2 linked regions of the Solanum lycopersicum genome follow. Each later gene encodes a partner of the first gene's protein in a complex. Links are inferred from orthologs where the notes say so. Each region holds a gene or a part of one and is shown in the gene's direction. Other genes may lie near its edges.

The links.
Region 2: large ribosomal subunit protein bL21c (region 1) and large ribosomal subunit protein bL9c share a complex: the UniProt entries of both Arabidopsis thaliana proteins name them as parts of the 50S ribosomal subunit. The link is inferred for Solanum lycopersicum from reciprocal best matches to the Arabidopsis thaliana genes RPL21C and RPL9.

The regions. Positions count from the first base shown.
Region 1 is NC_090805.1:43,261,989-43,265,717, forward strand, and holds the start of large ribosomal subunit protein bL21c, read left to right. Parts: upstream 1-902; 5' UTR 903-1,025; coding exon 1,026-1,319; intron 1,320-2,774; coding exon 2,775-2,855; intron 2,856-3,245; coding exon 3,246-3,347; intron 3,348-3,439; coding exon 3,440-3,514; intron 3,515-3,729. UniProt on the Arabidopsis thaliana protein: This protein binds to 23S ribosomal RNA in the presence of protein L20.
Region 2 is NC_090810.1:57,591,680-57,595,436, reverse strand, and holds the start of large ribosomal subunit protein bL9c, read left to right. Parts: upstream 1-1,107; 5' UTR 1,108-1,252; coding exon 1,253-1,390; intron 1,391-1,505; coding exon 1,506-1,633; intron 1,634-3,176; coding exon 3,177-3,222; intron 3,223-3,358; coding exon 3,359-3,456; intron 3,457-3,531; coding exon 3,532-3,579; intron 3,580-3,757. UniProt on the Arabidopsis thaliana protein: Binds to the 23S rRNA.

The DNA.
Region 1 (3,729 bases):
CAGTATCTTTCCACGAGCGAGATCTGGAGAGGGTGGGATGTAAACAAACGTTACTCCTACTTTTGCTACTTTATCTTATATAATTTGAGGGTTTTTCCTCTAGTTCATAAATTCTAAAATATTACAGTTGTTTGTACCTGAGAAGTGTTGTAAAAACCTTCTTTATGTCTATATTAATTTGATGTTACTGGAAATTGAGTACCTTTTAAGATCATTTTGTCATATATTAAACACTAAAATAAATTTCAGTCTTCTTTTATTTGTGTAATTTTTTTGATTTATTTTTTTTTCCTTCCAATTTTGCGGGCTTGATTTTTAACATAACAAATGGCATTACTTTTGTTCTTATTTTACTCTTCTTACCACGTATTTGTAATCTTACTTCTACGTTTTAAAGATAGAATAATTATTTTTTAAGAGCCTCAAATTAAATAAAACATATCAAAAATAGTACTAGCACTATGAAAATTAAATATAATGTATATGTAATTGCAAAAAGTAGATGGGAGGCTTTACATAACTAACCTCGAGTCAAAATTAAACAATGATGGCTTCAAGAGTAAATGACCTATTATATAATTTAGAATATTTGTTAATCTCTCCATTTCAAAAAGGATGGTCTAGCTTGCCTTGAAACAGAATTTAAGAAGAAAAAAAAATTTTTTAATCTTGTGATTCTAAATTAAAGTTATGTCAAATGTACCAAAATATCCTTTAATCTTGTGGTCTTAAACATGTCACGTGGAAAGTTCAAGTTAAAATATTATGAAAAAAGGAAATGAGTTTTTTGTTTTGAAACAGACTAAAAAAGGAAATAGAGACGTTCTTTTTGAAACGAAGGGAGTATTATGTTACGAGAATATGTAAATTTATACTATTTCTAATACAATTATTTTTAAAAAAATAAATAAAGGATTTCGGGGTAAAATAGTCATTTGGCTACCACTGCAGATAGGATAGGCTTCAACAGATAAAATTGAGAGAGAGACAGAGAATACCCAAAAAAAACCTCTCACTCTCTAACAATGGCAACCCTTTCCCTGTGTTCTACATCTTCCCCCTCAACAGCACTTTCCAAGAACCAAACTTTTCTTAACACCCTTTCTGTTCCCAAAGCAAATTCCAATGTTACTTTTCTATCTCACTCATTTTCCTCTCTCAATCTCCGTTTCTCCAAGCCCAATTCTTTATCCTCTTTTGTACCCAAATACTCAGAATCTGAAGCTCCAGTAGCTGAAGTTGAAGCTGACCAAGAAGAGCCTGTTGTGGAAGCCACTAGCTTGGAACCAAAACGGGAAGAAATCTTTGCTGTTGTTATGGTGACGACTCACTTCCATTCATGTTTAAATTTGTGTAGACATATCTGTTTGTTTTCAATTTCGAAATCAATGTGAGGGTACAATTTAGATTTTTATTGAAAAAATTATGAGGTCCCAAATGAAAATTTGAAAATTCAGCGGAAAATGTTTCAGTTGTCTGTTACCTTGAATTTTTTTCTCGAAGGAAATAGGAAATTGATCTATTCCCTCTAAGGGAATGTTACTTTGTTGTATAGAGATCACAACTTTGGTTCAAGATTGTCATGTGCTCAACCTTTGATATCACAAAAGCAGTCGGAATTTTAATAAGGGGAATTCAAAATTACTCAGACCTATTATTGAAGCAATTTCTCGAATTAACCTTTGCCACTAGAACGAAAACTTCCTTTATGTCAAACGGATTAGAAGTTCCAAAAATTTGTTTTCATGAAGAATGTTCCACCACACCTCACTCACTTAGTTCATATTTCGTGTTTGCTAGTACTGTTGATACATTACTGCTTCCTATGGTGTATGTGGTGAAAATAGGGAGTGTTACAATGAAATTCTTTCGTTCTGTTATTTATACGTCAATGCCATTCTGTGATGCTTAGGTTTAGCATTCTGTTTTAGGGTGTCTTAAAGGAACAATACACATGTCTATATGTTTGTGTCATATTGACTTGGCAGTGGTGGTGGCTATTGGAAATGTTAAAATAGTCCGTGCTAAATAAGCTGAACTGAACTTTTTATATGCTTAGTATTCTCCAGTAGAGTTGGCTGATGTTAACAGAAAACTATAATTATTATGAAGACATGACGAAGATTTAGTACTTGGTATATCCTTACCTGTGTTCTGGACACCATCCAATTTCAAAAATCTCAGTCTATGTTCTCTTTGGTTTTAGTTTAATTTCGTTTTACAAGTGGGCCATCTATTTTCGGTAGGCGTTTCCTCTAGTTAAGTTGCAAAGGGGTTCATATGGCAGATTAGAAGTAATATAACTAATAAATAACTGATAACTATCATTTAGTTCTAACTTTAGGTGTTATACAGTTGTCAGAGGGAATACATATCTACAAGTCCATGCAAACATTTAAGCAAAAGTCTAGTAATTGTTGAAATTTGATTTTGAGGTTGCCATATTCTACACTTTCATCTTTTATTTAATGTGAATTGTGAACTATTGTATTTAACCGGAGAAAACATTCATGTTTACTACTTATTTGATGAATATTTTTTCTTTTCCATGTGGAAAATACTCACTCTTGCGAGGAGATTATAGCTGCTATTTCAATCTGATCATTATTCCTGCTGCTAACAATTTTCAAGTCCTCTAGGTGTCAAATTTTGTGCTTTATTTTGTTCTTTTTTCTTTTTTTCAGATGAATGTGACACTACCCTAATATAACTCTATGGGGCTTGTCTTTAATACGTTAAGCTGTTTGTTCATTTTTGCTCTTTCGCTTTCATAGGTTGGATCTCGGCAATATATTGTTTTTCCTGGGCGGTATATCTACACCCAGAGGCTTAAAGGTGCAAATGTCAATGACAAAGTGAGCATTTTTGGTCTTAATTTACAATTGATTTCCCAAAATCTGGTTACCTCTCTGTGGCTTTGGCTTTAGTTACGTGAGTTGTTTTTCTTTTTCCTTGTCTCGCTATCTCATATCAACATTGTGGTGTCCAATCAAAAAGAACTTGCTTGCAGCAATTTCTCAATTATGTCAAAAGGCATCAATTTCAACCAATAGTGACATTTGCTTGTCCTATTTCTATTATCTTTAATACATTGTCTTCACCAGTTATTTTCCACGGAAGCTAACACTTGATATAAGGGTTATATGTGTATGTCAAGGTTTTCTTGCCATATTGGCAATACTCTTATTTCAAAATTTCCACAATGAGGATCATTGTTGAAGCATCTATACTTGTTGCTTCTGCAGATTATCCTAAACAAGGTGTTACTTGTGGGAACAAAAACAAGTACTTGGGTTGGAAAACCAGTGGTGCCAAATGCAACAGTCCACGCTGTTGTTGAAGAGCAGGTCAGACATCATTCTTCCTCTGCTGTAGTTTCCACTGAGTATATCTTGTTTACTTGACATATCTGTTGGCTCATTATTACATTTCCATGCAGTTGAAAGATAAGAAGGTTATCGTCTTCAAGTATAAGAAGAAAAAGAACTACAGAAGGAATATTGGTCACAGACAGGTATCAAAGAACTGTTTTTAGTGATATCTGAATAACTATAAAGTAGTTTGAACTTTTTTAACCTATCTGTTTGCCCTTAAAGCAAGGCGCACCGTAGTCTATCATAGTTTTAACTATGTCTGCAAATAATTACCATGCAAACATGAAAACTGTCTAAATCAGTGAGCTTACAGCCATGTATGAGACATGCCCCTTAAAATGATATTTGTGCAGAA
Region 2 (3,757 bases), on another chromosome or scaffold:
CTCTCCCTCCGGATTTAGATGACAAACTTTTTTTTAGTCAATTCTAAAAGAACGATACATTTCTTTATTTGATAAATAGTTAATGACACTGTCAATATTTTGTAGATGACTGGATCCCACTTATTCGACAAAACGTCTACAAAGTTGTGTTCTTTCTAAGGATAGTTTTGAGATATACAAAGTATTTTCATATTTTTTAAACTTCGTGTCCAATGTCCACTACTTAGTCAAGCAACACCACATGAATTGAGACGGATGGAGTATTATGTTGGGCTGTTTTTTTTGGATAAATTTTAGAAATCACATAATTTTAATATGAAATTATAATTCATCCCTCTTTAGTTTGTAATTTCATTAATCCCTTAAAAAGTAACACAAATCGGATACATTTATATGTAACTCGAATACATTAAAGAGTATCTTAGATGCATTATAGCATAAATCGGATGCATAATATGTAGTTCAGATACATTAAAAACTAGATCGGGTACATTATAAAATAAATCGCATACATAATATGTAACTCGGATACATTAAATACTAGCTCGGATACATTAATATGTAGCTCGGATACATTAAAGAAATAATGGATTTTAGAGGTCTTTAGAAATAAAAGGGGATATATGAAAATAAGGAAAATATAAGACGTGTATTTCAGTAAGGGTAAATGATAGAAATCTCACTTTTAAGTTCTCTTACTATTATTATCCCCTATTAGTTTTACAAATCTCCAAAATCCCTCATTTTCACACATCAAATTAACGTATCAGCACATCAAATTAATGTATCTCGCACATCAAATTAATATATATCACGCATCAGATTAATGTATATCGCGCATCAGATTAATGTATCTTGTATAAAGTGTACATCAGATTAGTGTATTATGTATAAATGTAATGTATCGTACTTAATGATTAATGTATCTCACACATCAGATTAATGTATCAAATGATACAATAATATATTATTGTATCATTTGAGAAATTTTTGTAATTATATACTTGTAAAAAACAAATGGTAATTTTGCCTTAAAAGTATGTGATTTCTGTCCTTCGCCCAAATAGCCTAAAATATTATAATTGGACTAAGAAATGGGCTTTACATGAATTGTCCCAATAAGTTTTGTTGGCCCATTAAGACATCCATTATCTTCTTCAGTTCGCCATTACAGATAAGATAACGCTATAAACTGTAAAAAATACAGAAAAACGGAGCAAAAAGTGAAGAAAAGAAGAAGGAAGACTTAGCTATGGCGTCATGGGGTTCATCTTCTTGTCTCCAAAATTACAGCTTAACCAAAAACCCATTTTCCGAAACAGTGAAATTTTCAGAAAGAACTTCAATTTTAACAATTGTTGCTCAGAAAAAAGCCAAGAAAGTTCGAAAGGTGAGCTAATTCTTGAAAATGTGATAATGGGTTGGATTTATAATTGTCAAAATCTCATTTTTTGTCCATTTATGGTTAATAGCTGAATTGGGTATTTTTTGTTTTGATGGAACAGATAATACTGAAAGAGGATATTTCACAGTTGGGTAAAAAGGGAGACCTTTTGGATGTTAAAGCTGGATTCTTTAGGAATTATTTGCTACCATTGGGCAAAGCTCAAATTGTGACAGCTGCACTTATCAAGTAACTCGTTTAACTCTACTTTGAACTAGATTTTTGCCATTTGATTTCATTGCCTTTTAGGTTCTTCTTTCATTAGCTGTACTTTTGTGGAGTTCGCGGTTGTTTGGTAGCTTGGTAGAGTTACGCAGGTATCAGTTATTTCGTCTTGTAACCTGCATAAGATAATACATTATATATTAGTTAGGTAGGTTTTTGAATTACAAATTAAACTTTGTGTTGATTTTATACATGAATAACTTATTCTCTAACTAACTGCCAAACATTGTATTACTTATACATTAAGTTAATATATGAGTAAGTTGCTTTTTTACTAGCTACAAAACACCCCCTTAATGTTTGTTAAAATTGGTTCTGCTTGTGTTGGATGGATTTTTAAGTATTCCTTTTGGAGACTGTTAGTTGATTTTAAGTGTTGAATATTCACATTTCCAATCACCCTGTATAGTTTAACGGCATAATCCACAGTGTGTCATGGACACCTGATGTTGATGTGGCAAATATATTTGGTTGGTGCCTAGATGATCATTTTGTAAGTTGGAGTGTTCAACTGACACAGTGGAGATGAGTTGAGGTGTAGATGTGCATACTCAAAGTTGGAGTGTTTTCTTGCTAGTTGATGCCGAGTTTGAGTGTTTTCTTGCTAGTTGATGCCGAGTTCAAGTGTCTGTTTCTGCATTATGACTAGTTAAATTATCGACTTAACCTTATTATTGAACTCAAGACTTTGGTTCTTCTGTTCGTTATCTTATTTTCATGCCTCATAATTAATGTCAGGATTCTTTGGTTCAACTATTTAAAATGCCACACACAATACTTTGCTTGGCTGTTGATGAGTGGAAGTATGTTATTACTATTGCTTGTTTTGTTTTATCTTTTATCTAAACCAATGGACCTATGTCGAATGGAGATAAAATAGGTATACTTAGTCTATGGGATCCTTTAAACTAATTGTAACTAGCTGAAAAGTGGACGGACCCATGGATTATACATATCTTCGTGCAAAGGTCGTACCAGAATAATCATTTTCGATACTCCTTGAGCAGAAACTCTGTATGGCTTTGGTGTTATAACTCTTGGTCAGTACACAAACTCTGTATGGCTTTTGTTCCCTGAAATAGTGCTTCGTATGATTAATGATTATAGGTTTAAGTAAATTCGCTTCTTTTAACCAAATATAATTTATTGATAACGGATTCGTCTTCAATACAATGTCCCACAATGCATAAGATGGATAATGGTTGGATATAAAACTTTAGATTTCCTACTACTTAGTGACTTTGTCTTTAGCTTTTGGGTGAGCAATAGGCCTAACCAGCTGTTAACATTAATGGTGTGATAGTCCTGTAAAAGTCTTATATATAAGGGATTTGCTATTTCATACTAAAGAACAAAACAAATAGGTGAAGGCTTCGTTAGAGATGGTTGTTAGAAGCAATTTTGGTTTGATATTTTTGATAGCTATTAGCGTGCTTCGCCATCAGTGAGAATTAACTAACTTCATGGATGCATTTTTATTTTATAACATTATGTACTTTTTACTCAGGGAAATGAAGATGGAAGACGAGAAAATTGAGGCTGAAAAACAACGGGTAATTAGATTATTCTGATTAATCTAATCTATTGAAAGTTGAAAAATATATACATTTTTTTTTTATTTTCAAGTCACTAAAAGTCTAAAAGAGTTTCATAATGAATGTGGTTTTAGTTAAACGTTTTTGATTTCAGGTGAAAGATGAGGCACAACAGCTTGCTCGAATTTTTGAAACTATTGGAGCCTTCAAGGTGAAGCGTAAGGGTGGGAAAGGAAAGCAAATATTTGGAAGGTCAGTGAAATACTAAATTGTGATGAGCAACTTGGTGAATATTTGATCTACCTTTTGACGTCATCTCTCTTGCAGTGTCACTGCTCAGGATCTCGTTGATATTATAAAAGCACAGATACAGAGGTACCATTTTCCAATCTTTCTGCCATAGCATGTAAATAGTAGTATGCGAACTAATTACTACTATATGTTCATTGAAGACTGTTAAAGTATATTGTCCTTCATAAGGTTGATCCTGTAATATGAATTTGCATGAACTTGAAAACTGATGTTCTCTGATTCATCTGGTTTATTAAGTAAT